Linked DNA regions of Caenorhabditis elegans. The protein of the gene in region 2 interacts with the protein of the main gene of each other region in a pairwise test. Each region holds a gene or a part of one and is shown on either strand. Other genes may lie near its edges.

Evidence for each region.
Region 1: the proteins of T04D3.1 (region 2) and cdk-14 interact in a two-hybrid assay, tested with the Caenorhabditis elegans proteins (one large-scale study listed by BioGRID).
Region 3: the proteins of T04D3.1 (region 2) and heh-1 interact in a two-hybrid assay, tested with the Caenorhabditis elegans proteins (one large-scale study listed by BioGRID).
Region 4: the proteins of T04D3.1 (region 2) and trmt-10C.2 interact in a two-hybrid assay, tested with the Caenorhabditis elegans proteins (one large-scale study listed by BioGRID).

Annotation. Positions count from the first base shown.
Region 1 is NC_003279.8:839,701-849,853, forward strand, and holds cdk-14 (Protein kinase domain-containing protein), read right to left. Parts: upstream 7,064-10,153; 5' UTR 7,046-7,063; coding exon 6,896-7,045; intron 6,792-6,895; exon of another isoform or gene 6,471-6,791; intron 6,443-6,470; coding exon 6,383-6,442; intron 6,300-6,382; coding exon 6,230-6,299; exon of another isoform or gene 6,149-6,229; coding exon of another isoform or gene 6,121-6,148; intron 6,062-6,120; coding exon 5,914-6,061; intron 4,640-5,913; coding exon 4,361-4,639; intron 4,313-4,360; coding exon 4,013-4,312; intron 3,398-4,012; coding exon 3,215-3,397; intron 3,162-3,214; coding exon 3,017-3,161; intron 2,975-3,016; coding exon 2,846-2,974; intron 2,277-2,845; coding exon 2,136-2,276; 3' UTR 2,042-2,135; downstream 1-2,041. Other genes in the region: ZC123.1 (Sperm mitochondrial-associated cysteine-rich protein-like), read left to right, coding at 1-392, 440-1,060, 1,518-1,880, 1,924-1,956.
Region 2 is NC_003279.8:13,301,169-13,307,705, forward strand, and holds T04D3.1 (NTF2 domain-containing protein), read right to left. Parts: upstream 3,144-6,537; 5' UTR 3,125-3,143; coding exon 1,864-3,124; intron 1,804-1,863; coding exon 1,700-1,803; 3' UTR 1,591-1,699; downstream 1-1,590. Other genes in the region: sdz-30 (SKN-1 Dependent Zygotic transcript), read left to right, coding at 5,883-6,537.
Region 3 is NC_003281.10:3,196,882-3,202,979, reverse strand, and holds heh-1 (Putative protein heh-1), read left to right. Parts: upstream 1-3,463; 5' UTR 3,464-3,464; coding exon 3,465-3,762; intron 3,763-4,285; coding exon 4,286-4,452; 3' UTR 4,453-4,503; downstream 4,504-6,098. Other genes in the region: frm-8 (FERM and PDZ domain-containing protein 4), read left to right, coding at 847-1,125, 1,936-2,029; R148.7 (uncharacterized protein), read left to right, coding at 4,674-4,688, 5,852-5,880, 5,936-6,012, 6,056-6,098.
Region 4 is NC_003281.10:6,342,788-6,349,793, reverse strand, and holds trmt-10C.2 (tRNA MethylTransferase), read right to left. Parts: upstream 3,514-7,006; 5' UTR 3,416-3,513; intron 3,365-3,415; 5' UTR 3,347-3,364; coding exon of another isoform or gene 3,305-3,346; 5' UTR 3,304-3,304; intron 3,084-3,303; 5' UTR 3,080-3,083; coding exon 2,287-3,079; intron 2,163-2,286; coding exon 1,738-2,162; 3' UTR 1,384-1,737; downstream 1-1,383. Other genes in the region: C56G2.9 (DUF4604 domain-containing protein), read left to right, coding at 6,507-6,545, 6,623-6,713, 6,762-6,793, 6,846-7,006.

The DNA.
Region 1 (10,153 bases), about 12 Mb from region 2:
CACCGACTCTGATTTCAAAGCCGGTAAAGACCATAATAAAATCAAAATCCCGCGTTGCTGGAACCAAGACATCTCAAGTGTCCGTCACCAAAAAGCTCATCGAACAATCCTCTGACCACGTGGAATCGCCTCCAACAGCCGGAAGACTCTACGACTTCCGAAGAGCCCACGTTCGAGTCAAGAGAAACATGAACTTTGGAAATGGAGCATGCCAGCTGTGTCTGAACGGAACTCCGCTCAAGAGAACCAAGCGGTCTCTCGATTGTGTTCCGTGTACCTACCTACAACCACAATACTCTGATTGGAACCCGTTCCTCGGAGATCAAACGCCACGCGGATCGCAGTCGCCAGTTGGAACTCCACTCGCCGGGCACAGAACTAAGAGAGCTGGCGTGAGTTTGACTCATAGAAATTAACGAAGCTAAATTTATTTTTGCAGTGCCTTCCTCATCCACAATGTACCCTGCATGTCCGTCGCTATAAGAGAAACCTGATCGGATCCCAATATTGTGAGCCATGCAATGGACACTACGGTAGAAAGAAGCGGGAAGCCGAGAGAGATCAGTGCTTGAAAAGAGAGAAAAGATATGCAGATGAACAGTGTGATAACGATGAGTTCAGTATCAATGAGCGAAGCAAACGACAAGCCTACAATCCAAAAGGAATTTTGGATATCGTGAAGCTCCTATCCAAGGCCTCCTCAGGTGGCAACAATCCAGGAGGATGCATGAAGTTCCCAGCCTGTGTTCTGGCTCAGAAGAAGAGAAGAAAGAGAAATGCAGATCGGCTCGACACGTACTACAAAGCTGTGGAGGAGCACAAGAAGCTGGTGGAAGAGTACGAGATGGCGATGGAGGAGCACAAGAGAGTCAAGCGGCAGTTCTTCGCTCCGGATAATGCTGCATCCTGTGTTCCGTGTCCGGCATGGGTGACACTTGCCTTGGCTAGCAGAAAGAAGAGAGAAGTCGAGAAGGTGGAGAAGCATATGACGATGAGCGAAGCTATCGCGGATATCAGAGCAAAGAAGGGGTATAAGGAAGGATTTGATGATGATGATGAGGTGAGGACTAGACCTGAAATTTTAGATCCTGTAAGAACTTTTTGAAAATTCCAAAAAAAAAACCCCCTAATTGAATCACGCGCGCACGCGCCACTGAGAAGGATACTGTATTCGCGGCGAGACCACCTGCACATCTAACTCCCAAAAGTGACGAATTTGGCCTAAAATGGACTTTCTTCATGGGATTTCCACAGTTTTCACCATTTTTTTGACACAGTTCATGACTTTTTACACTCAAAAAATTATTGGCGTGGTCATTTCACAATGATTTCAACAATTTACTGGATTTTACGCGTGTACTTCATCGTGGCACACCAAAAATTGATCTGGTTCATGTGGTGTCAGAGTGTCCCATTTTGGTTTGATCTACGTAGATCTACAAAAAATGCGGGAGTTGAGAGACGCAGAGATCTCAACTGGCGTCACATCAATGCGGATTTTAAAATTTTCATTTCAGGACGACGAATCCTCTGAGGAAACCATCGAGACCCGCAGAAAGCAACGCCGCTCCTGCCAACAAAGTGACGATTGCCTGAACAACGTCGAGTACGCAGTCTTCCAAAAAGTCTATGCAGACAAGAGAACCAAACGAGAAGCCGTGTTCCGTCGTAAGAAGTGCTCGAGGTGTGGAGTCTCTGGGCTCACGCCACATCGTGTCAAGAGAAACTTCGGGCAGCCGAATATCAACGTCTCGGAGCAGAATTGCATGGCATTCCCACAGTGTCGGCATAGAGTGAAGAGAAACTTTTTGGGAGAAGACTGTAACATCTGTACACAGGATACTGGTCTGAAGCGGAGGAAGAGAGACTTCGGAACAGCGGTAGGTGTTGGTTTAATGAGCTTCCTTATCTTAAAGTTTTCAGCAATGCTACCCATGCCCAGGAACACGTTCATAACTTGAAGCGACTCCCTCCGATTCTCACATATCACATAAATACCACCTCGTAATAATAATTCAACATGACTAATAAAACAAATAAGTACATACATACATTTATATTAGCTTTTAGCACCCGTAGCAATTTGGAGCAAGAAAATATGTGTAAAGAAATTGGAGATGTAGTAGATTTGGTCGTTATAGTGATCGCAGATCTTTCAGCTCTTTGAGCCGGAATATTGACTGGCTTGGAGCCAGGAGATGAACCTCGCGGGGGAATGAGGCAAAGTAGGGGTGAAGCATTGCACTGGCTGCGGAGACACGGCTTTCCGGGCGGAGCTGTAATTTTGAGGGTTACAAGATAGGTGTAGCTCGATGTCGATTCATTTAGACTAGCATTGCAGCCAGGGCTTAAGCTTTCGGCTTGAGCTTGCACTCAAAGATTGCTGCTCAATATAGCTCGCGAAGACTGATTTGTCAAAGATTAGACTAGTAGGCCTGGACTGACTTAAAGGTGGAGTAGCGCCAGTGAAAATTTTGTCAAAATACATACATAATGATCCGAAAAAAAAACCAAATTTCATAATAAAACAATCCAAAAAATTAGATTTTTCACAATTTCAGGTCAAATTTTTGGCAAACTGCTAAAATTTTGAAAAATGAGCAATTGAGGAAATCTAGAGCAATGTCGCATGTTCCGACCCCTACAATATTTTAATACAAATAATTAAAACACAATTACAGTATAAAAATGTAGGAAAAAAAATTTTTTTTTTGTTGGTCGACTTCCAAAATTATGAGTGGTAAAATTACAGTAAATAAAAAATTTTCAAAATTTTTTTGAAACGTTTTATTATGATATTCGGTCTTTTCGGGACTAAAGGAGTGGTTTTTACAAGTCTACTTACCTGAAGAAGCATCCCCAGAAGTTCCTGACCAGTCTTCAGAATCTTCGTGAACATCGGGTTCACCGCGATGAACGACAACTCCCGATACCTGGGGAACAGTTCAGGGGTGTAGCCTGGTAATGTCTTTACCTGAAACAAACATCTTTATCTCTAGATTTTAGATTCCCTCACCTCCGGCCACTTTTTCTCGTCTGGAGTACCCCGAATGCTGAAGATCATATCCAACTGGTCCTTGGTGCCGGGGTAGTGAGAGTCCTTGGATCCCGGGAACAAAGCGGCGCCCGTGCAAATTTCAGCGAATATGCAACCGACTCCCCTGCAAAGTTAGTAGATATAGTTGGTACCTTTTATAAAATAATATCCTCCTACCACATATCCAGGGAAGTTGAATAGTCGGTACTTCCCATGAGAACATCAGGCGGGCGGTACCATAAAGTGACCACCTCGTGAGAATATGTCCTACTCGGCACAGATTTCGCCCTGGCTAGACCAAAGTCTGCGAGTTTTAAAACACCGTCTTCGTCGAGAAGCAAGTTTTGTGGTTTTAAATCTCTGAAAATCAGTTTTTATCAAGAGTTATGGCCGCAACGGCGCCTCCGCCGACCCCAGCGGTCGCCGCGCCGGCCTCCGCGGAACCCCGAAAATGTCCGCCGCTCCAAACAACCACTTTTTTGCACTACGTTGCGCACACACCAGGCTACTCATTTCACGCCAAGCTGCGGAACACCGAACGTGTCCGCCGCTCCAAATAACTCCCTTTCGCAATACGTTGAGCACACACCAAGCTGCGGAACTCCCAACGTGTCGGCCGCTCCGAACAACCACTTCTACGCACTTCATTGCGCACACACCAGGTTACTCATTTCACGCCAAGCTGCGGAACCCTGAACGTGTCCGCCGCTCCAAACAACTCCCTTTCGCAATACGTTGAGCACACACCAAGCTGCGGAACCCCCAACGTGTCGGCCGCTCCGAACAACCACTTCTACGCACTTCATTGCGCACACACCAGGCTACTCATTTCACGCCAAGCTGCGGAACCCCGAACGTGTCGGCCGCTCCAAATGACCACCTTTCGCGCTTCAACGGCGTCGGCGTGAGGCCCGAATTTCGCGCCTCACTCTGCTGGGAGCCCTATCAACACTAGGGAGCAGTTTGAAAACTAACCTATGAAGAATCTTCTTCCTATGACAAAAATCGAGTCCGCGGAGAAGTTGAAAGAGGAGAAGCTTGATGTCAATGCTATCCAACCCATAGACGTTCTGCTCCAGGTACTTGCTCAAATCCATTTTCATGTACTCGAACACAAAAGTTAGCTGGTGGTGTTGATAGAAGATGTCGTGCAAAGAGACGATATTCGCATGACGGAGGTTTCTGAGAAGCGAGGCTTCACGGATAGCGGTGAATGGGAGACCTTCTTGAAATTGAAGTTTGATCTCTTTCAAGGCGACTATGGATCCGTCAAGTCTGAAAATATAATTTAGTTTGGTAATATCAGCTGTTAAAATATCTAACTTCGATTCGCACTTATACACCGTTGCATAAGATCCTTCCCCCAGCTTGTCAATTCGTTTGTACAGATCATTCACATCCTGCGGTGTCACTTCCTCCTTCGCAGGAAGCGTTATCGTATTTGGATCGTAGTGTGCTGATCGTGGTCGACGTCTTCGAAGATGTGTGAAGTCGGCCACAGTGTTGCTAGATGGTGGTGGTGGCATTGATGGAGAGTTCTTGTTTAGGGGCACGGTTGACATGGTTTCAGATGGATTGTTGGAGCGGGAACGTGATTGGCGGCTGAAATGGTATTACTAGGGTTTGATTCGGAAAATTTTCTTAGAAAAACAGTTTGGCGGGAAGTTTAAATTTTCTGATTAAAAATGTTGGCGTAAGTGGTGTCGAAGTGCCCCATTTTGGTTTGATCTACAAAAAATGCGGGAGTTGAGACAAAGACTTTTCAACTGATTTTGCAGGATTAAGCTGACGTCACATTTTCCTGGGGGAAAAATCCCCGCATTTTTTGTAGATCAAGCCGCAATGAGACAGCCTGACACCACGTGTTGACGGGATATTTAAATTTTCTGAGAAAAACATTTTGGCGGGAAGTTCAAATTTTCTGAGAAAAACATTTTGGCGGGAAATTGAAATTTTCTGACAAAAAAATTTTGGCGGGAAATTGAAATTTTCTGACAAAAAAATTTTGGCGGGAAATTGAAATTTTCTGACCAAAAAATTTTGGCGGGAATTCAAATTTTCTGGGAATTAACTTTGGGGAGAAGTTCAAATTTTCTGTAAAAATTTTGGCGGGAAATTGAAATTTTCTGACAAAAATATTTTGGCGGGAAAATCAAATTTTCTGAGAAAAAAAAATTTTGGCGGGAAATTGAAATTATCTGACAAAAATATTTTGGCGGGAAAATCAAATTTTCTGAGAAAAAAAAATTTTGGCGGGAAATTCAAATTTTTTTTTTTTGAAAAGAAAATTCTACGGACCGGAAACGGCCCAACTACGGCTCAAGAGCCGTCTCGGTCGGTAAATGTGTTTTTTGCTCTAAATAATGCATTTAACGACGTAAAAATGCTTAAATTAGCCAACTGGTATCATAGGTATTAAAAAAATTCGTTTTCTTAAAATCCATTTTTTCCTCTTAATGGCCATTTTTTTACATTCCCCGTAGTTTGCCCGTAATTGGTCCGTCCCGCTTTTCATATCCGTAGTTCACCCGTTAATGGTCCGTTCCCGGTCCAAGATCCGTAAACGGACCGTACCGGCTTTGCCTGTGGTCAGATATAACTAGTAAGTCAAGTGGTGTCAGGCTGCCCCATTATGGTTTGATCTACTAAAAATGCGGGAATTTTTCCCCCAGAAAAACGTGACGTCAGCACACTCTTAACCATGCGATACCAGTTGAAAAGTCTGCGTCTCTTCTCCCGCATTTCTCGGAGATCAAACCAAAATGAGGCACTTTGACACCACGTGGTAAGTTATAACAAACATAACAAGGTGTCGAAACTACTGTAATTATAGTCTTACTTCAATATACAACCTAATAAGAATCTCCACCACTTACCTCAAAAAGCTGAAAATATTCTTATTATGATGTTCTGGTGTGCTTCCACTTCCGGACCCCGATGATGCCCCATTCACATGATTGGAGTGCCATGATTGTGTCATTTCATTTGTTCCGTTTTTCGAGATCGGAGATTTGGTGGAGCCTCCTGAAAAAACAGAAATAAATGTGGAATTATATGGGGGCTCATATGTTTTCGGAACTAACCTTTTTGGGAGAAGACTCTGGAGAGCATTTTTGTGTAAACTGACTAACTTGTGCCACCCCCCGCACCCCATAGAATAAATTGGCTAAAATTTCGAAAAAAAAAACTCGCCACCGCCGTTATTCTTGTATTTCTTCTCCTTATTCCGACTCCGACGCAAAGTGAAAATTGACGAGGACGGCTGGAATAATGTTTTGTGTTTGTGTCTTGTGGAAGAGATGCAGAATCGCCGGAAGTTTAGAGGGGGTGGCGTGACTTACTGACCTTCCGGGTGCTCGGCGAGCCGTCCACGTCCTGAATTCGTTGCGGCGACATTGTGGTGATCTGGAATATGTGGAGCGTAATCGAAATATTTAGGCTTAGGCTTAGGCTTAGACTTAGGCTTAGGCTTAGTCTTCGGCTTAGGCTTAGGCTTAGGCTTAGGCTTAGGCTTAGGCTTAGGTTTAGGCTTAGGCTTAGGCTTAGGCTTGGGACTGGGCTTAGGCTTGAGCTTTGGCCTAAGCTTAGGCTTAGGCTTACGCTCAGGCGTAGGATTAGGCTCTGGCTTTGGCTTTGGCTTAGGCTTAGACTTAGGCCTAGGTTCACGCTTAGGCCTAGGCTTACAAGAAATATCCTCATTTACCGACCGACTGTGGCCTAGGATTTCAAAAAATGACCCTTTTTGAAAAATCGAAAAATCGAAATATCGACGAATTTTCGTTTTTGAGGCGTTTTTTTAATTTCAATTTTTATAATTTTTTTCGGTTTTTCGATTTTTCTTGAAAATACCAAACTCACCCTATGCAAGTTCTCCGACGACTTCGAACTCCTAACAGCGGTGAGCTGTGGATGATGTATCATAGACAGTGAGCACGATGCTCTCATAGGCCTCTCGGCCTCCTCCAGCCCAAACCATACTCCAATATGCGAGGTTATTTTTCCCCACATTTGATTGAAAGATGGTATCTGCAAGTGAAATTTTTGGGTGGGGAAAAAGAACGTGAACGAATAATTTGGAGCAGCGGGGGGGGGGGTGGAAAAATGAAGAGCTGCTCGGAGGAGGGAGCCGTACTACGAAATGAGAAGAGGAGAAGCCGGTGTGACGGCGGGGCGTTAATGGGTTACTAAAGCCTCCACATTCCCATTTTCAGCCGTTTCGAAACAAAGAAAATAGAAGAAAAAAAAGACAGATGAAAAATGACTTGGGTGGGTTCGGTGAAAAACAGGAAGCAGGAAGAGTGAGGAAATTGGATGGTGGAAGAGTTTTGGCATTTCTAGGTTACCGGGAATCTTTAGAGACACCTGGGCTGTCCCATTACAGTTTGATCTACAAAAAATGCGGGAATTTTTCGCCCAAAAAATTTTCAACAAATTTAGATATTTTTTACATTTTTTCCCCAATTTTTTCAGCCATATTTCAGCCATGACTGTCCTTTTTTTCGGGCAAAAAAAAATTTTCTCTGAAAATGTTCGAAACTACTAAATTATGCAAGAAGACAATTTTTAAGGTTCGGAGATCAATTTTGAGTCCTCTAGCTTCAAAATTATCCATTTTAGAAGAGTTTTAAAATTGTAATTTTTTACAAAAATTGCTCAATTTTGCCACTTTTTAATAGTTTTCTAAACCTAGATTTTCTGAATTCTGCATATATGAATTACCCGTTTTCAACAAATTTAGACAATTTTTTTCATTGTTTCCAAAATTTTTTTCAGCCATTTTTCAGCCATTACTGTCCTTTTTTTGGGCAAAAAAAATAATTTTTTGAAATTACATTACACACCTTCCATGTTTTCTTCGTAGATTTAAGGTCCATGTCCACTGCTTGGTGGAAGAGTTTTCCGAGTTTTTAGGTCACCGGAGAATTTGAGTTGGAAGAGTTTTCGCATTACTCCCCAACTGTGATAGAACTTCAAAAATGAATATGCAGGGACATCACTCAAATTTGACATGTCAGTTTAAAGGAACACGCTGATTTTCCGAGTGGGTCTCGCCACGATCCAGGTGCTAAATTTTCACAGTTTTTAGTATGTACCTAGTGGCTTATTTCTAAACAACACGCGCATAACATCGGAGTGTCGTTGCATAGGCCACTCTAAAACATAAACAAATGTGTGAAGAAAAATTAAACACAACTAGCACGGATTTCTGACGTCCCTCAGAAGTTGAAATGGAAGAGTTTTTGCCGAACTAGGCCAGGCCATATTCGGGGTAGATTTACGGCGCGTCGCGGCTCGATTTTAGTTGTAAAACTAAATGTATTTGTCCGTGTGGAGTACACGACTTTCCCAAGCGTTGTCCGGCAGGCGATTGTCAATGGAGCGCGAAAATTCAATGAGGAAGGCCAGAACCCCGTGGGATTTTGAAATTTTTTTCAGATATGACAAAAAATGACAATGCCAAATTTAAAATGCATTAATAGCGGACAGAGGAGAGAATAAGTAGGGAAAAAAGAAGAAAAAAAAAGACGGGCGGCGCTTCTCTCATAAAATAGTAATTGGTCATTCTAAGTGTGCCTATTGTTCCTTATTTTTCGCTTTTTCTTGGCTCATTTTAGCTCAAAAACCAAATGTCGAAGAGTTTCTAGAGAACTAGGCCACGAGAGGGAAAAACTAGGTCACTGGAATTTCTACGCTAAAAATTTGGCCCAGCATATTTACCTACGTGGCCGTAAAAGAGAAAGTTCGGCCACTAACTTTTTCGGGCTATCAAAAAAGGTTTACCAAAACTTTATAAAAAAGAAACCACTTGTGGAAAATGGCCGTGCATACTAAAGTTCGGCCACAAACTTTTTTAAAACTTTTTTGCTCAAATTGAAGTACAGGACCACTTCGATGGGCGGTTTTCACTACTTGGCCGTGTAAGAGAAAATTCGGCCACCAACTTTTATTCAAGGCCACACCTCCAAATCCTTCAAAGCTTCAAAAATTTTCTACGTGGCCGTGTACGAAAAAATTCGGCCATCATCTTTTTTTTGGGTCACGTCGCTAAATTCTTCAGAGCTTCAGAGATTTTCTACGTGGCCGCGGGAGAGAAAATTCGGCCACCAAATTATTTTTTAAGGCCAAACCTCCAAATCCTTCAGAGCTCATATTTTCTACGTGGCCGTGTACGAGAAAACTCGGCCACCAAATTAATTTTGAAGGCCCCACCTCCAATTTCTTCAGAGATCATATTTTCTACGTGGCGTGGCCGTGTACGAGAAAATTCGGCCACCAAATTCTTTTTTAAGGCCAAACCTCCAAATCCTTCAGAGCTCCTATTCCCTTCGTGGCCGTAGGAGAGAAAGTTCGGCCACCAAATTAATTTTTTAAGGCCACGTCGCCAAATCCGTCATATTATGAGGAAAAAAGTAAAAAATAATACTAATAACAATTGAAGAAAAATTGAAAAATATAAAAATATAAGAGACTAGTAAATGAAGAGGAATGAAGAGCGAATAGGAGGCCAGAGAGAGAGAGGGGAGGAAATTGTGCTGTTGAAGACCTTGAAGAGAGAGGCACAGCAATAGATAAATTGAATTACAATGGGGTGAGGAGCCGGGTCTGTCCCCCCCCCCCCCCCCCCCCAAAAAGTGCGAACAAATGTGATGAAGCGCAGAGAAAATCGGGAGGGGGGGGGGGGGGGGGGGCTGTGCTCCAGGTTGATTGAGCCAAGTGTTTCGACTTTTTGCCGAACACGTTGAGCTCTCCGATGAGCCGGGCTCACCGGAGAGCCCATGGAGCCCCATGAAGCAGAGGGTCACAAGGTTTGAGACTTCCGGGAGATAGACTGCACAACGTACAAAGACTAAAACTTTTTTTTTTTGCAGGTGAGGCATGAAATTTAGAGCTTTTTTGCAACAAAATCCAACATTTTTTTTGTAAAATAAGGTCAAATGACGAGTTTTTTCTATAATCTGGCCGAGAAAACCTGAAAATTGATCTACCTTGATAAACAGGGCGCGCGGGTGTAAAGCGGAGCGTCGTTGTGAAGCTGAAATATTGTTGAACGAATTCTGGAATTCTGGCTTCCCTCATAAATTGAAATGGAAGAGTTTTTGCCAAACTAGGCCAGGC
Region 2 (6,537 bases):
TGACGAAAATTTCGGCGTTAAATAGGATTTTGGGATTTTAATAAATTAATATAAAATCACGGAAATTTTTTATATTTTTTTCACATCGATATTTGGTATCAGGGGCATAAATAGCGTCTTTAGTCCTCCTTTGTGTTAAAATCAAGTTTTGAATAAAACCATCAAAGTACAACTGATATTTTTTGTCCAATTTTTGGTAAAACCACAAGTAACTACAAGATACACTTTTAGAAAAGGGAACTACGGACATATCAATTTCAAGAATACATCATATTTGAAAAAGGCAAAAAGGAAACAAATACTGTAGTTCATAGCCGAGAACAAAAAAATGGAAACAGGAGCTCTAGAGACTGACTAGAGAAAAGAAAAACGACCTACTAGAGGCGATGCAGGCAGACTGAATGATGTCTTCTGCTCTTCAAGACAACTCAGAGCATCTGGAGCAAACGCTGCAACCAATTTAAATCGATACTCAGCTCTTGGGATACCAGATTCGGGAAAGAGGTGGGAATTGGCAGATGTTTTTATCGACTGATGTAAGATTGAGACGACTACCAGGAGAAGATCTACAAACGAATGTAGTATATTGATGGTTTTTAACAAAATTTCTGGGAACTGATTTTACAGATATGGTAAATCTCAACATGTTACGGCTGCTGATCTAATAGAAAGAATTATCGGCAATCTGAACAGAAAAGTATCCAAGATATGGGCGGAGCATGAACTGAATATGGCACCGCCCATATCTTGGCTACATGTACTTCTCACATTTCTTCATAAATTTCTCCTATACTCCCATTATTAAGACAAAGCAAGGTCAGCTTAAATTCCCAGACACTGAGCAAGGACGCGATCCACCTGAGAGTAATTCGACCAGGGGTGGACGGCAAATGATTTTTTGCCGGAATTTGCAAATTGGCGGAAATGAAAATTTCCGGCAAATCGGCAAATTGCCGGAATTGAAAAGTTCCGGCAAATCAGCAAACCGGCAAATTGACGCTTTGCCAAATTTGCCAGAAAAACGGGCAAATTGTGGTTTTGCACATTTTTTTTGGAAATTTCAGAATTTCGATTTCACTCAGCAGACTTTTACGCATCCTATGAATGTTCCTACATCTATTTTTAAAAATAAGCAAACTCTATGAATATATCTAAAGAAAACGGAATAAAATTTCAAAAAGGCACAGTTTTAAGTGCTTCTGTCATATAAAAAGCCCCTCTAAACACTTCCGGCAATTGGCAAACCGGCAAACCTCCGGAATTGAAAACTTCCGGCAAATCGGTAAACCGGCAAATTGCCGGAATTCAAAACTTCCGGCAAATCGGCATCTTGCCGCTTTGCCGAGTTTGTCGACAAAAAAATTTGCCGAACGGCAATTGCCGCCCACCCTTGAATTGGACTACAAATGTGGACAGAAGATTCATAGAATCAGAGAAAATTACATCCATTTGCCGGATTTCTTTTGGAAACGTGCCCCATTTTAATTTGCCTCAAAGAGAACCTGGCAATCCCATTCTAAAAGACTATGACGTCAAGCAAGATTTTCAGCAATGATTTTTTTCCCGCCGTTTCTAAAGGCACACAAATTTACAGTTGTCTTTTATTTATGGAACATCGGGAAGAAAAATGAGACCGCAAGACAAAATAAAATAAAAAAATATGCAATTTAACAAAAAAAACTAATTTTAATCCAAATCCTCAAATCTGTTCCAATTCCTTCTGAACATATGGTGGCAACGATCCGCCGTAGAGAGTTGTCAGGCTTTCCACGAATTTTTGTTTGAGAATTGACATGCCATCGTCTGAAATGAGTATATTTTTAGAAAAATGAATAATAGTATGGATTAAGTGTTAAGGGTTACCTGGGGCATCCTCCGGAATATCTGGAGAAGTTGAGCAAGATGGGCCATCAGAAAACGGATCATCACAAAGACGGATCTTCTCGACCAAGACATCCAACTCTTGAGATTCTTTGGATGCCTTCTTCTTGGACTTCTTGATCTTTTTGGCCTTCTTCTTCTTGTCCATCTTCTGCTTCTTCTCCATAAACTGAGTATCAAAACTCTTGATCACCGAATTGGGAACCTCCACGAAATGTTTTTTGATCGAGCAATATACCTCCTTCTTCAGTCTTCCTTGTGCACCCCTCATGATCACTGTTGTCCCTTTGAGAACGAAGAAGATGCTCGAAGTCGGATCCTGATCCTTCGATGAGTCATACTTCAGCTCTGGCTGATTCACTTCAACAAATCCCTGAATCTTCGAGTCGAAGACATATTGCTCCATGCGATCTGTGAAGGAGTTGAAGACGTGAATCACATAAGCCTGAATCTCTTCGCAAAACTCTGCATACTTGGGGAGAAGATCCACTTCTCTGGTTGTATCCGGACACTTCTCACAGTCGAGGATCTCGAATTGACTGGTGCTCTGATTGTATATGTACTTTTCATAATGACCACGGCTGGTGATAATGTAGAGAACGTACATCTGAAAGTCTTGGCAGAATGTGGTTTTAAATGCTGGAAGTGTTTCATTGTAGTCAAGATGTTCAGAACTGAGGGAGTCGTTGTCAGACCATGGATCCGCGTCATCAAATTCTTCGGCGGCCAAGAGTTGAACCTCAACTTTTGGCATTTCCACGCACTTCCCAAGTCTGTACTCCAACTTCCGAACTGCTTCGTTTCCTCCACGCTCGATCAGAACTTTCTTTCCATCAGAGTTCTCAATCATCACAATAAAACTTGATTCCGTGAATTTTTCAGCCGAGTAAACCAACTCCGGATAGTCGACCTGCTGGAAGCCACCAGTCTCGAACGAGTAGACATACTGCTCCACCTCTTGCGTAACCTCATTTCTCATAAAAATCACACTTCCCGAGGCATACATCGGTGACAGGTGATCTTCGAGGATCTTCACTGCACAACTGGAGCATCTGTGTGGAATGAACTTCCTGATTTTTAGGTCGAAGATGAACACATTGTAGGTTCCATTTTGACGGGGTCCACCAATGATGGGAATCTCCATGATCGGGCAGAGTTTCATGAGGATCCGTGGAGTTGTTGGAGGAGACATTGGAACTTGGCGCTGAGTTGGAACAGCACATGGATATGCAATGAATGACATGACAAGTAGAGATGATGATCTGGAATTTTGGAATTATAAGGATTTCAAAAAAAAAAGAAAAAGAACGTCAGAACTGGCAATGAAAAGAAAAATTTATATATTATTTCAAAGTAAAGTTTGTTGGGTGCACTAGAGGACAGTAAGTAAGTGAAAACCCAGCTCAAGATTAGCAGAATTTCAGATTCCCAGGCGACAATTGTTTTAGTTTTGAACAGTTTTTTATATATTTCTCGTCCAGAAAATTAAGAACTTGCGCAGGAATTCCAATTTCAACCGACTTTAAAGATCCGTTCTCTAACAGTTTAAAACGAAACTTTCAAGTATTTTTTCTTGAAACAGTAAGTTCTTAAAAAAGTGAAAAAAATTAAACTTAAATATTCTAGAAAAACGCTTTCGAGGAACTTCTAGAACTAGCATAATTTTCAGAATGATAAGTTGCGCGCGCAAGGTCACATAGATTTGACTACCCCGTTCCCACATCAGCCAACGGATTAAAAATCAGTAGATCAAAGTTTTACGAGTGTTCTTTTGACATTTTTTGGCACCTAAAAATTAGGTCAATTTATTAGCCTAGCGGAATGGAGTACCGAAACAGTCTAAAGGCGCAGGATTACTTTTGAAAAAAAAAAGATTAATTGCAGAACCATTTTTGAAGTGAAAACTACAAATTGGAATAATTTAATAAAAATGGCTCTTATAGAGGAGAAAAGGGAAAATTCATAAACTTACAATTCGAAAAAAAAGAATTGGATAAAATAAAGAAAATGAAAATGAGAGAACAGGAAGAAGAGACCGACAGTCTACTGCATAATGACCTTTTGAGCAAGGCCCGCGAACATTTACGACCACCGTCTGCCCGTCTGCGTCGTGCATCTCTCGTACAGGCTATCCGTGTTTTGTTGTAGATCGACTGGGAGAGACAGTGTTTGTGTATGCTATAAATCTGTAAAGAAACATCTCTGACCAAACGAAGGATTATAGAAAAAAACAAACCTAGAAAAAAACAAACCTAGAAACCTTCTCAGGACAGTCCTTGTGTAGGAGGACTGCCTCTTATGGGGACTTTGATGTGATGTGCTCCAAGTGATAACATTATTAAATTAAACCTGTGAGAATTCGATGAAAAATTTTCTTCTATGTTTGATATTTCATTTGCTTTGTTCAAAAAATTGAGATGAGACAAGTTTTATGCGTATTGTTTTAGTGCAGAAACAACATAACTTTTTAGCGTCTTGTTCTTGAGTTTCAGAAAAAAACCGGCAGAAGCAACTTCTACTCGACTTCAGCTACACAAAAGACGATTCAAGGAGGGTCAAAATGTTTGTTAATCATAGAACCTTCCAGGAGTCGACAGAAAAAACACGGGGAATGGTAACTAGCAACTGAATGAGCACGGAAAAATTATTATGTTATACCTACAATGCCTATAGTTAATTGGAAGTTTGAGCACAAATACTGCATTTTAAAATAGTTTTTCCCTTCTTTATTACGGAAATTTGTAAGACCATTATTTTATATGCAAATCCGTTAATATTTTCAAGCCTATGAAGCAGTCTTTAAGGTTTCAAATACCGTATTTCCTCTATTAGTATTGCACCCGACTACTTAACTTTGAAACGTTATATCTCGGTTCATTTTAAAGATATCAATATATTATTAGTTACAAAATTATAGAAAAAGAGCTAATAAATATTTTGTTAGTTGACAATTTTTGAATAAGGCAAACGATAACTGAGATATAAGCTTTCAAAGTTGATGTGAAATTTAACATTTTCTATTCCATTCTTTCCTTGTCAATAAATCCAAAATAATTGGAAAAAAACCTCATGAAACAGCAGCAAGATCCATTTTTTGACCAAAGTACCCTAGTTTCAGATCGATATACCACTGTAATGGTCAACAATCGATCGGAATGTCAATTGACAAACAGATGCGTACACCTAAACTCCGCCCAATTGTCGTAGTTGCTCTGTCAGATCGACAGTACACATTTCTTATTCATTCATTCATTCATTCATTGTACCAGCACACGAAGAGGTTGCTCTTTTCTGATTTTGTTTCATGTTTGTTGCCAGTTACCGTCTTGGTAATTTATGATTTTTTTTGTGATTTTTCAAAAAAGAAGTCGTTTTTAATTGTCTATCAAACCTTTTTGAACTCAAAACTCCTATCAAAATGCAAAGAAAATAACTTTTAGGGCAGAAAACCCTCTGAAAAACAGTACATCGTACATTGACAATACTTTTTGCTCACTTTGTTCCATCCTTCATAATCATGTTTAATTCACTATCCTCAAATTTTGCTGTAATTTTTTCTGCCAACTCTTGGGAAATTCCGTGAATTTCAAACATTCAGAGTCTCTTTATGTACACTATTATCGGAAATTGAAAAGTGAGCAAAAAGGGTTGTCGATTTGCTGGTCCCTCCAGGTCCATGAAATGTCTCAAAATTGCCACAAAACGGACAAATATCATGCCGATACTTTAAAAAGCCCGGAATTTTTCACAAAACGTTACAAAACGTATGTCTTTTGGGAAGTTCAAAACGTCTGAAATCGTTCAAAAAATGTAGAGTTTCTTGAATTTCACAATTAACATTCCTTCAATTTTCCTGCAAATTTCTTGCCCTCATGTCCACTGTGAGTGGTTGAAAAAATCAAAAATCCCTTAAAAAAGCATTCCTACAATCATTTTCCTTTTTTCCCTCATCTAATTCTGAAACTTCACACTTCATTTTCCAGAAACATCTCCAACAAGCCATGTACCCTCAATACCCAGCTCAACCAGCTCCAGGCGTCAGGCCCATCATGTGCCCAAGACCATTGCCCAAGTTTGCAATGGGAAATTGTCCCGTGACAAGAACGCGAACAATCGGTGTTCAACGATTTGGTCAATACTACATGTTCAACAAGCATCCGGCGTCACCCAAGCTGGTCCCACACAAGTGTCTTCAGTGTCAAGCGAGAGTCACCGAAGCGGATCTTTATCCTAAGTACTCGGTGGTCTGTAATAAGACCTCGACGCTCGTCATTTTTGTGCACAATGGGATCACGAACAAGATCGAGCAGTACGCCTATTCTCACTCGACTGGCGGGTTCGTGGAGGTCAGCTTTCCGGAACTCGTGTACAACCCGAGCCTCGTCACTCATGGTAACCTGGTCGTGGTTATTAAGGGATTAAAGAATGAGAATATTGTGATTGAGAGAGATCTTAGAGGTGGAATCAGAAAGCAATCCTCACATCTTGGACCATTCCAAGCGATTCCACCGGTTGTTGTACGTACTCTTATGATGCAGGAGATAGAGAAGGGTATAGATGTGACTGGAAACCCGGAAAACCCAGATTCTGCTGTAGAATCTGATTATGATTCCGAAGAGGACGATGAGGATGAAGATGATGAGGATGATCTCGACG
Region 3 (6,098 bases), on a different chromosome or scaffold from region 2:
AACTTTTTGGTTACTGTAATTAGGTACTCCGCTGAATGATAATATTTTTCTACTAAAATTCCATATTTTTGAAAAATTTTGTTTAAAAAATCAACCAAAAATGTTTAAAACTAGCAAATTTACAGAATTTCGAAAAACTTCGTAAATTTTTTTTTTCGAATTTTAAAAATTCCAGGATTTCATACACTTTTTGAAATCTTCTCAAAATTAGCTTTTATATGACACCCATATTGCATAGAATCCCCTTTTCCAAAAAAAAAAGAAGAAAATTTGGGTCCCACCACGAAAACTTTTTGGTTACTGCAGTTAGGTACTCCGCTGAATGGATAATATTTTTTCACTAAAATTATTTTGCAAAATGTTGTAAAAAATTTAGTCGAAAAGCTGTAAAACCAAAAAGTATATGGATTTTCGAAAAAAAGTTCGACTTTTTTTTTTCGAATTTCCAAAATTCCAGGATTTTTCTCGAATTTTCAAACTTTCAAGAATTTCATACACTTTTTGAAATCTGCTCAAAATTAGCTTTCATATGACATCCATATTGCCTAGGTTCCCCTCTCATCCCAAAAAAATGAAAATTTAGGTCCCACCACGAAAACCTACTGGTTACTGTACATAGGCGCGCTACTTAATGAATAATATTTTTACACTAAAATTCCATATTTTTGCAAAATTTTATAGCAAAAATTAACCAAAAAGCAGTTAATCTGAAAAGGTTATGGATTTTCGAAAATTTTCGGAAAAAAATGTTCGAATTTTTTTCCAAAATTTTGAATCTTTTCAAATGTTGCAAATATTGCACAATTTCAGGGTTTTTTTCGCAAATTAAGATAAAAACGTTTTTAGATCCCCAAATATCGATCGATTATGTGACGGAATAAATCTACTCGTTACCGGACCTCCGGCTCGCCGAGCATCCATTGAGACCCTCCTACAGAACAATCAAAATCCCAATACAAACCTGGAAAGCCTGATTCTACAATTTCCGACAATTCCCGATGAGAATGAGGTGGAAAATGATGACGTAGCGCTGCCAGAAGGCATGCAAACCTCCACGACTACGGTAGTTGCAAATGGAAAGACTCGGTGCTATAGGAATGGATCGTGCGCAAAAAGTTATCAGGGGTAGGGGGGATTTTTATTTTTTGAAAAAAAAAAGAAAAATTCAAAAAAAAAATTTTTTTTTTGAAAATTAGGTTTCACCACGAAAACTTCTTGATTACGGTAATCATGCTATCAACTTAAAAAATATTTTACAAGATAAATAAACACTTGGGCTAAAGTTTAAAATAAAAACCAGCCAAATATCTTGAAAATTCCCAAAGTTATAAATTTTTGAAAAACTTGTTTTCGAAAAAAAATATTTTTGTTCAAAAAATCTCAATCTTTCAGTATTTTTATAATTTTTACGAAAAATATTAAATACACAACATTTTCATGGTAATCTCATTAAGAGCTTTAAAATAACACCCATATTGACTAGTTTCCGAGAAATTTGAGATTTTTGGGTCCCGCCACGAAAATCTCTGAGTGTACTGTAGCAAATTTCAACGCAGTTGAGTTTTGCTAATTTTTCTTGCTAGACAACGTTAAAAACTTTATTTGACAGCAAAGAAATAGATAAAACCTTGAAAGTTATAAATCTCTAATTTTTGACTTACACAATGGTTAAACTTCTTCTACTCTGTAAAAATATTTTTAAGCAAGCAGTTACCTAGACTACCGTAACCTAGGGGGTTTTCGTGGAGGGACCCAAAAATTGAAAAAGTTGGGGAACCGAGACAATTTGGGGCTTATTTGAAAGGTCTCAGTGTGTCAAAAACAAATCAAATAAGTTTAAAAAATATAATAAAACATATAATAATGTTTTCGAGAAACAAAAAATTTTGAGAAATTTTTTATTTATTTTCAAAACTTAAAAATTTTTTATTTCAGAGAAAACTTAATTTCAACTCCGGTATCCGGTGACTCAATGCTGGGTGATAGTTGTTCGATAGCAGCAATCGATGATGATATACCACTTTTATAAATTATTGATTTTTTTTTCAATTTTTTTTCCATTTTCTCCGAATTTTCTCCGAAATTCCACAATTTCCCAGAAACATTCCTATCGCATTGTGATACGAATTTCCCGTCCCCTTCTCCCATTCCATCCTTCCCTCCAATAAATCAGCTTTCTGAGCCGCCTATGAGCCACCACACCAGAGCCCAAGAAAAATGGGAGGAGCCAAAGATAGTGTAAAGTTGAGAGACCGCAGAGAAATGATGGGGACAACTGTTCGAAAATTGACAAGAAGTGATATGGGGTCATTGTGTGGCAGATGGGCTTGCCTTGAAGCACGCATTGTGCTCTTTGGAACATTTTTAATTTTAAAGATTTTTTTACTGAAAAATTTAAGCTAAAAATCAAGTTTTATAGCTGAAAATTTATTTTTTTTAAATATAAAGCTAATATTCGAGTTCAGCTCATTGAGCCCGTTTGAATGACCCCCATATTGCCTAGGTTCCGACCATTTTGATAAACTTCGGCAAATTTTGGGTCCCGCCACGAGAACCTTTGGGGTTACTGTAGGAAACGCCAATTTTTGTAGTTTTTATTTTTTACTAAAAACTACATTTTTCAAATATACGGTGAAGTACAAATTATTAGAAAATTATGAAAAATAAAAAAGTTGTGGATTTTCGAAAATGTTCGAAATTCTGAAAATTTTTAAATTTTTAAATCTGCCGTAACATTGTTCAACTTAGATTTTTTTTTGTTTGAAGAACAAGAATTATGATTTGTGCTCATCAAGAGCTTTCAAATGACTCCCATATTGATGGAGTTACGCCGATTTCGAAAATTGCCGACCATCTGCGCCTAAATTTGAATTTTCGTTGCGAGACTCAAATTTTCCAAATTGATGCCATCTCTTCAAGAAAAAGCAGCGAAAAAGCACATCACCTTGCTAAAAATTCAGAATTTTAATCATCTTTTAATTTGAGATATCAAAACCTATATCGAAAATTTCGGGTCCCGTCGCGATTTGAAGGCGCATAGGTAGGTCAAAACTCAAAATTGACGGATTCTAGTCAATATGGGTGTTATTCGAAAGCCCTCGGTGCGCTGAACACGAAAATAGTATAATTTCAGTGTTAACTTCAAATTAAAAAGCTTTACAGTAATTTTTTAAAATTTCCAAAATGCCTACTTTTCGAAATTTTTCGAAAATCCATAACTTTGCTCATTTCCAAGATTTTCTGTTAATTTTTGCTGTAGAATGTAGAATCAAATGTTTTCCAGCTGGAAAAATTAGCTTGTTCAAGTTTAGCAATGTTGCTACAGTACCCCGGAGGTTTTCGTGGCGGGACCCAATTTTTTTCAATATTAACGGAACCAAGTCAATATGGGTGTTATTTAAAAGCACTTGATGCTCTTATTTCAAATACATTTGTAGAAACTTTAAGAGGTATATATTTTCAGTATGAAGACCGTAATTTTCCTGGCATTGCTTGGCCTGGCCGCCGCCGAGTTCATTGAGATCGGCTACAAGGTGTGCAAATCCGACGGTACCGTATCCCAAGTAAAAGCCGACGGATGTGAGCTCACAGTGAAGGACGGGAAGAAAGTTTGCCTGTTCAAGAAAGGAAGCCGGCCAATTATTCAAATCGCGTTCAAACCAAGCAAGGACACCGACAAACTGAAGACCTCCGTGCGCGCTAAGGTTGGCGGCAGTGCTATGGTTGACTTCCCACAAACTAACTCGGATGCTTGTACTTATGGTGGGTTACTGTAGTTTTGGGGGATGTGAACAATTTGTAAAAAAAAATTTTGAAAAAAATGTTTTTTTTGAATTTTGTATGATTTTTTTTTCAAAAATTTCTAATGTTTCGAGTTTTTCAATTAAAAATTTAGTCTCGACGCGAATTTAAAGGCGCATAGAGGCTCGATTTTCAAAAACAGCGGAATATAGGCAATATGGGGGTCATTTGAAAGCTGAAGCCCCGTAGAATCTGAAAATCTAAGTTAAAAATAGTTTACTTAAAATTGAAGTGAGGAAAAAGACAAAATTTAAAAATTTTGATTTTCAAAATTTTTTGAAAAATTTTTTAAAGCTATTCCGATATGAATTGCCCTTAAGCCATGCAAGCAAGCCCTGCAAAAACAAAAAACCCGCATGCGGTCTCGAACCCCGGTCTTGTGAGCCCCAGCCATCCCTGTTAGCCACTGCGCCAAAAATCAACTTTTAAAACTTTCCAAAAAAAAGTGCACCGACTGAAAAATTCTGAAAATCTCAAATTTCAGGTGTAAAATGCCCAGTTTCCGCCGGCGAAAATCAAATCTTCGAACAATCGATCTCGATCACCGAGAATCATCCAGCAGGGGAAGTTATTCAAGTCAATTGGCAGCTTACTCGTCCCGATTCTGGAAAAGAAGTCTGCATTATTTTCTTGGCTGAAATTAAGGAATAGATTATTGATTTTATTGTATACTTCTGATAATAAAGAGACTTGGAGCATTTTTTAAAAATTTGCAAAAAAATATTTTTCACGTGAAACACAATTTCTCCTCCCCCTCCCCTGTTAAATGTTATTTTGTTTCAAAAAAAAAGAAAAATCTAGTCAATTTTCAATCATTTCCGAATATTTTCCTTCTCAAATCTGGTGAAAGTGAAGTCTCTTGTGTTGGAAAAATGTCGAATGAAGCGGTAAGGAGTTTAGTTTTGACGCTATCAAAAACTTGTCAACTGCCAAAATATAGGTCTTAAAATTCCCTATATTTTGTTAGTTGAAAGCTTTTTGATAGCTCTTCTACCAGCAGAGATACACGCGTTCGGAACTAAAGAGACGAAAGAGTGTGTGAGGGGGAGAGACGCAGGCGGCGCGCGCACACTGCGTCTCTCCTCCCTCCACACTCTCTCGCCTTAAATCTTTGAAAAGGCGTATCTCGGCGGGGAGAAGTGCTAGAAAAAAGTTTTTAACTGAGAAAATATAGGAAATTTCAAGGCCTATATTTTTCCTGTTAAGAACATTCAGGACCTGCTTTAGTACTCTAAATAAATTAATTTTTCTAGAAATAATCAATACTTTTGCTATTCTGAAAGCTTCCTCATAAAACGACGATTATTGATTTTTTGAATTTTTTATTCGAAGTTTGGAAAAAAATCCAAATTCCAAATTCTCAAAACGTGAAAATTTTCAATTTTTTTCAAATTTAACAAAAGAAACTCGGTTTTTTTCCGAATATGCAGGTTTTTTTCTAGAATATCAGTATGTGCTCAAGTAACGAGAGTGCGTGGGAGGGGGAGAGACGCAGGCGGCGCGCGCACGCTGCGTCTCCCCTACCCCCACTATATCTCACAGCTTCAAACTTTGAGCGCGTATATCTCCGCGGGGAAGTGATCTATAAAAATATTTTCAACTATGAAAATGTAGGAAATTTAGAGAGCTACATTTTGTTAGTTGATAACTTTTTGCTAGATGTAGAGATTTTGGAGATAAATTGGTTTTTTTGTTCAGATTTTCGAAATTTTGGTTTTAATTTTATGGAAAATTCAAATATTCACTTTATTTTTCCATCTATTATTTCTAAACATCAGTGAAAGTGAACAGTCGTGTTCCTTCCCAAAAAATGTCCGTAATCTTGATTTTAGGCAGTTTTTCGCGAAGATTTCGGGGTCAAATTAGATCCAAATCTACGGGATTTTAGTGGGTGGCGGTTTCGAGGCGGTTTTGACACGTTTTTTTGGAACATTTTTAAATTTAGGAAGTAGTTTTTGTGGTTTTAAATCTTAAGATTAGTGATTTTTTTTTTAAATTTTATCAAAAAAAAAGTTTTAACTATTTATTCTATTTATTTTTCTTTTTTCAGCTCGTCCATTACACTAATTCGGAGCTCGAGTAAGCTTTTCCCACATTTTTTTGCTCAAAAGTTTCACATTTTCCCAATTTCCAGATTGCTCGACGCCGACTGCCTGACAGCAGTTTCATTCAACGAACAGCTCCGCGAGCAAACGGAAAAAGGAATTGAAGGTATTTATTTCCAGCATTTCCAATATCATAAAACTATTTTCAGAGGAAATGGGAAGACGTGCCAAGGCTAAAAGACGTGCCACTAA
Region 4 (7,006 bases), on a different chromosome or scaffold from region 2:
GTGATGACGACAAATCGGAAAGTGGGCGTGAAAACTAATAATAAATACCCAGGGGCGTAGTTGAGTTATTCCATCGCTTCTGCTTTTTTCTTCACTAAAAAAAACCATCGTAAAACCACACGTCAGCTGAATAAAATTAATATTGAAATCAAGTTGGAAATGAGATGGATACGCAAAAGAAAAAACTTCACATCGCCGTCGTTGAGCAGAGCCAGCAAAAAGAGAAAGTGACAGGTGGAATGTTGTGTCAAATACGAAAATGTGACTCTCCACTTTACATATATGGCTTTTTTGCCAGTTTCTTTCCTTTCTCGGAAAAAAAACACATTTAAAACGGTATCACAGATCGACGCCAGCATCAAAACTAACAGTAGATGAATAAGTAAAATGCAAATTATGGGAAAGTGGTTGCCCCAATGACCAATTCAAATGTTGAAAATAGTCTAATTCAAAAGTTTTTGAGTTCACAAATCGTATGTATTTAAGTAGCATTCTCAAGTTTTGGAAAGGTGAGAAAAAATCTATAAATAGAAAATCAAAGAGTGGGGCGAGCGGGGGTTCGTCTTCAACCTTAACTATCGTGTGTATATCAGCGGGCCCTTTTCCCACTTCTCTTGTAAATTATTCAGGAATCGTGGCACCAAGCAAAAAAAAATGAAAAGAGTGAAAGTACTTTCAATAATAGTTTAGCGAGAACTGATTCAGATTTAGAAATATGCCAAAATCCCAAAATCGAACAAACTTCAAAATAATTATCAGTTCGAAAAATTTGTTCTAAGAATTCAGTAATTATTATACTGAAACGTAAGCAAATATCACTCGGAAATCTAGAGCTCGATCAGTTTCCAGTAAATGTAGCACCACAGGAAAACACAGAAACAGAGCTCTCTCGATTCCGAAGAGGGACTCCGAGAGGAGTCGAGGGGCGCGTGGTGCATTCCTTCTTCAATGCTTCCGTCCCTCAACAACATGACCAGATGACGTCAGTTTAATGGCCAGCGGCCATTCAACACGGCTCCAGAATAGAATTGAGAAGACAGCAAATAACACAGAAAAAACCAAGTGCGCACGAGTGGGCAGAACGAATCGACGGATGGCTGAATGAAAGCGGAAATACGAAGGAAATAGGCAATAAAAGTTGTCAGTTTCTCAGCAGTTTTTCCTTATTCGGTTTCAGTTTTTTTTTTACTTCAATATACGAAAATTGATATTTATAGCGCAAAATTTGGAACAAATTAGCTTTGAATTTTCCTATTTTCTTCGGATTATCGATACGCACGCATAAGCTAATAAATCGTATGTCATTCAATGGAAAAAGTAAATGCTTTGAGCACAGATTAAACTGAATTAAAAAATAAATTAATAAGAATAGTGAGAGATAAAATCAAAAAAAATTTATACGAACATTCTTAAATGGAAGGTAAATCAACAATCAATAATTATACAGTCCAACAAATAAGAAATAACAATAATTTGCAAAAACTAAACATTCTAGCTACCCTAACCAAGATAAATGAAGTGAGTTGCCACGCTCAGCTTCACCTGTCTGAAAGAGCTAGAGAAAAAGAGTGACTGACACTTAAAGAGAAGTCAGAGCTGTCTGTCGTTTTTTTTGCATGGCATTAACTAAAAAGTGAAATTGACTTCAATGATTAATCTATATTTTTCTAAAATACTATATGATTTTCTTGTCAATTCGACAAAAGCTCATTCTTTTCAATTTCAGCCATTCACTCTTTAACCCTTTGTAGCGCTCATAATTGCCTCAGTCAATTCTCTACGTTCCTCCTCTCTCGCTCTCCGCCTCAGCATTTGCATTTTCTTCTGTTCGTCGTCATCCGCATTCACCAAATGCCTTTTACTGATGTTGTTGTGTAGAGCACGGCTCCAGTCTCCACCATTCATGTAAACTTCGCGGAGCACATTCATTATATTGGGAAACGGTAAATATTGTGGCCCCGACTTCCATTTCACGTATCGATGAATCGGTAATCTATAGGCGCGAATATTGGCACGACGAGCAGCGCTCAAAGCTTCTCGTTTCCGTCCCATAGTGACACAAATTCCAATTACATCGGCAGTGAGTGGACCATCGAGAACATCTCTAGCGTTTGATGATATGTAGATAGTGTTCGCAGATTTTCCATAGAATTCTTTGATTCCTTAAAATATTCACGAAATTTTTTTTTCTTCAGATTCTCTTCCAAAATGCAAATTTTTGGCGATTAATCAACAAAAATTCAAATTTATCGATTTATGAATTCCATTTCAAAACGTAACACTAACCCTTTGTCGAGAAATCCGGCAGAATCGTTTGGTTTATATAATTTCCCGTGTAATATCCAACACTTTTCGACAACCATTGTTCCAAAAATTCTTTAGATGGAGAATTGACAAAATCCAGAACAAATGGACTTTTGGCCGAGAAATTCTCGCTGATCGTGTACTGCATTTGATTTCCGAGCTCTCCAGAATCGCGTTTATTCATTTCTTCGACATATTGAATATCAAGTGCGATGCGTGGTGCTCCGGAATTCATTGCGGCAAATATTTTGGACCCTTCGATATTATTCACTCGTTTCTGATTTCTCATCGGATTCGAAATGACTTGATACATCTCTGGTCCGTATCCCATTCCACCAGCTGTATAAATTCTTTGCTGCTCTTCCAAAACTTTCTTGTAATTCTCTGCACCGGAACTTTGAGCTTTATTCCTACTTCTTCTTCGCTTATCAGTGACCGCTAGATACTCCCAATATCCAATCTTATCGTTTATCGATTCACAAATTAAAGTTTGTTTCCATGCTTCATCACTCATTCGTGTCGGAACATACTTTCCCATGTAAACGAAGATTTCAAACTCCTTGAGTGCAGTCTCATACTTTTCCTTGAGTTCTTTTGTTAAGCTTCGTTCGAATACTTTAGATGGTTTCAGGCTTTCAAACGATACTTCTTCCTCTTCAACTGGTGCTGTTGCTGATGACGATGTAGAGGAAGAGCCTAGTGCTCGTGCTTGACCATAGCAAACGTGGCGCTGTGGCAGGAGAGCTCTGGCGAAGAAGCGAGTGAGAGGGAACATCTACCTGCAAGAATCAACAGTTCAGTACATTCGATTCAGATATCCGGTAACGACATTGTGATGATAAAGTGTAGAAATTAGCGGATATCATGGAATGTACAAAACTGTTGACCCATCTCAATATCGTCACTGGGTAATAGGTAAGGGAATTAAAGTCCAGAAGTAGAGAAAAAAGTCCAAAAGTTAGCAGTCCACGTTAGCAACATAAAAGAAAAAAACCTAACCTTACTGTTCGTTGCCTGAATGATGACTGATCCGACGATTCAATTCGAGTCCTTTGGCTTTCTGAAAATAACTTAAATTTAAAAAAATCTGCTTTGAAAATTCACAGCTCACCTTTTTAACAAAGGCACTTAGTTTGGCAGACTGCCAGTTGAACTTTTATTCCAGCTAAACTGCTTGTATGGGCGCTTTCAATTGAATTTTACCTGAAATTTAGAATATATATTTGAATGAAACAGTTCCACAGAAAATAGGAAAGTGAGAAAATGAGAGGTGAAAAAGAGAGAAAGAGGGCTTGTTTACTATCGCAAATGAGTTACTTATCTGCATCAGATGGATGGCAATAAGTGGGAGGGAATATTTGTGCATTTTGAACGAGAGTGAACGATCGGAAGAGAAATACATGCCGCACCTTGTGTTCATCATATAACAGGTTAGCTTTATAAAATGAGCATTCTTTTAATTTGAACTATTGCTTGTGTTAGAACATTCACCTAACAGAAAATGAGCGTGATGAAAAAATTATGAGTTTAAGCTTTAAAAATCAATTCAATGAACATTGACGTCATCAATGTTAGAAAAAATATCACAAGCGGGAACACAAACGAACTGTAGATATTAAAATTATTATATGATATGGAAAATATTACGCCTAATAAAGTGATAATATATTGAGACACTATTATCGCAAAAAAGATGATCGACGAGTGGCCGCGACACAAGGAGAACCGAACGAAGAAGTGGTGCGCTGGGTGGAATTCAAGGTCAATCGAACCTACAGGTGGCGCTCCTGCCATTTTTTGCCGCTTTGTTCGAAGGTCAGAAGGCTAATGAGGAGTGTGGAGCTCCATGAATTTTAGGAAGAATATTGAATAACAATTTACTATGAAAAAGTTATAAAATTGGCAGCTTATTGTGAAACTTGAGATTACAGAAAGCGGATTAGAGAACAGATCCTGATAAAAATTAAACTCACTTTTCAAATGTGCAAACGTTTAGTTTTATTGTACAGAAAACTATTTAAATTTGTTTTAAAACTGTTTTTTAGGATTTTGATCAAGGAATTCCGTTTAAATTACTTCAAAATCTGACAATGTTGAGAAAATGAAAACTAAAGCTAACGAAAACTTCACAAGAAACAAATTTCGGAGGAGGAAAAACATTTAAAGTTTCAGTTTACATAAATGTTCTCGAATGCAAAAATCTATATAAGAATATAGCAATATGAAATCGATTTTCGTGGACTTTAAGGATTTCATGGTAACTTGAGCTCGTGATAAGTTTGAACTATGATCGCTCATTGAAAGAATCCTAAAATTATTGTTCCCAAATTCTTGCCGTTTTCATGAGAAGCGAAAGAAAAATGAATGAAACAAAAGAAAAGCGACAAATCGACATTAAAATTTTAGAAATTTTCAAATGTTCAGTTTAAAAAAAAACAGTGGAAAAACAAGAGGAAATCAGTTAAAATTCAGGGTTTGTCTGAGAGTCAGTAGCAGAGAAAAGTGAAATAGTGTGGGAAACGAAGAGAGTCATACAAAGGGCAGATGGTGTAAACATTCGATTCGACGGCAGATTGCACACAAAAACTTACCGTAGTCAAGCGTGAGAACTTTGGCAAACAATTTTTTCTTGAATCGGATGGGAAATGATCACGCAAAACTGACTCTGTTTACTTATTTACACGAACGCTTGAAAATTATTGAAATAAAATGTCTATCGATCGATTTTTGAATGATCAAATTCACGTTGAAAATAAAAAATAAATTGTTGACAATAAATGTGTTAAGAGAAAATTCTCACGCAAACAAGATCACGTGGTGGGAATTATGTTGTTGTCGGTTTCTTTAAAAACTGAATGTTGGAGGACAACTATACAATTTTATCGTATTTACCTAAACTATTTAAACTGATACGATTTCTAAAATTAAGATTATTTTAGAGAATTCTCGGAATAATATCTCTCGCGAAAAGAACTTCGAGTTGTTTTAAAAATTAAAGTTATGAATTTAAATATTCTGATTAAATTCCTAAAGTTTGAATTTAAAAAATAAAACATGAAGTAAGAAAAGGAACATGGAAATAATCGGATTTTTATTTAGAAGGATTTTTTCATTTACCTGTGTCGGTTTAGGCGGAGTACGGTATTATATTTTAAGATTCAGTTATTATATTGCACCAGAATAAGAAGTATTGCACACTCTAATTGGACATATAACAATGAAAACCTGAAAAAATTTATCTACTTTTTCCTCAATCTCCCACGTCTCTACATTACCTTAACCCCTACCAAGAAGTGCGATTTTCAGACTGCTGCTTCTCCTCATTTTTTCTGTTTTTATGTATATCCTTTGCCAGATTTTCTTTCCTATTTCTCACAATAAGTCAGTTACCATGGAAATCGTCGGTGAAGGAGCTCCAATAAAAATCCGAGAATTTGATTATGGCTCCGTTGACTCCCACGCCGGCAAACAAGCGCTTATCCGAAGAAGCTGAACCAATCACTCACACGGCTACTTCTTGACGACGACGAGGACTGATTAGCTTTTCAGTTTGAGCTACTGAAATTTTTTCGGGTTATCCCATTCTGCTTTAAAATTTTCTTAATTCAAGTTTGAGAACGGGCTTATTCTTGTGGGTCTTCCCACGATCAATCCAGGAAGAGAATGACAAGAGTCTTCAAAGCCACATTCCATGACCCTAGAAGGACTTAAAAATATAAATATTGAAAAGAACCCAATAGTAATTTTAAACGAGACAGGCTTCTTTCGTATATTTGCATCCTCGTAAAGTCTTTTTTGTTGGACAATTTCTTATTTAAAAAAATCACCAAAATTTTCTGAATGTTTTTCAGACTGAGTAGGACATTATTTTTTAAACTTCTATCATAAATCTCGTGTAGTTTCATGAAAAACTCCCACCCATTTTCCCACTGTCATGAGTCAACGGGAAAGCAAAATTCGAGTACAAATTAGTGTTCTCCATTTAATTTGTGGCGTTCAACACATAACTCGTTCGCCCCTTCATTTTTTCTTCTATTCTTGGTAGTCGCGTATCACTTCTTATTCTGATCAAATAAATTTTTTACAAAAAAATTAGAGCTGAGCATTCAGATTTAATTATTTTTCTCAATATCGTGAGAAAAGGTTTATTCAATTTTGCTTCAGCCACTTGCTACAAACTACACCATCTAACGGCTAACACCATGTTCAGCGAGCATAAGAAGAAGCAGGAAGAAGCAAAGGTTTGTTCTTATCTGTATTCAAAAACGAACCGTTACCCGACAAGGTTACGAATTTCAATCAGAAAAAAATGTTCCAGAGAACCGAGAAGAATGGAGAATTGATCTTCGATGACCTGGATGCAAAAACTCGTGATCTGAAACTATCGGATCAGGCAAAAAACGACAAAAGTGAGTTAAACCGAAGGAAAAGTGTTCATAAAATCATCAATCTATCAGAGTACATGTCGGAGATGGAGACCAAGAACCCGGTAAGTCAATTTTTAATTTGTTGAAAAAATAGTTGATTATCTGAAATTTTAGAAAAGAAAATCTATCAAGAAAAGCGACCAAAAACCGTCAACGATGTCGCTGAATGTAGGAAAGGGTGGTGTGGAGAAAGAGAAGGAAACGATTTCCTCGCAGCGGAGCAATAGTTTGGAATCTCCAGGACTAGGAAGTCCCCAAAATGTTGGTCTCGGGAT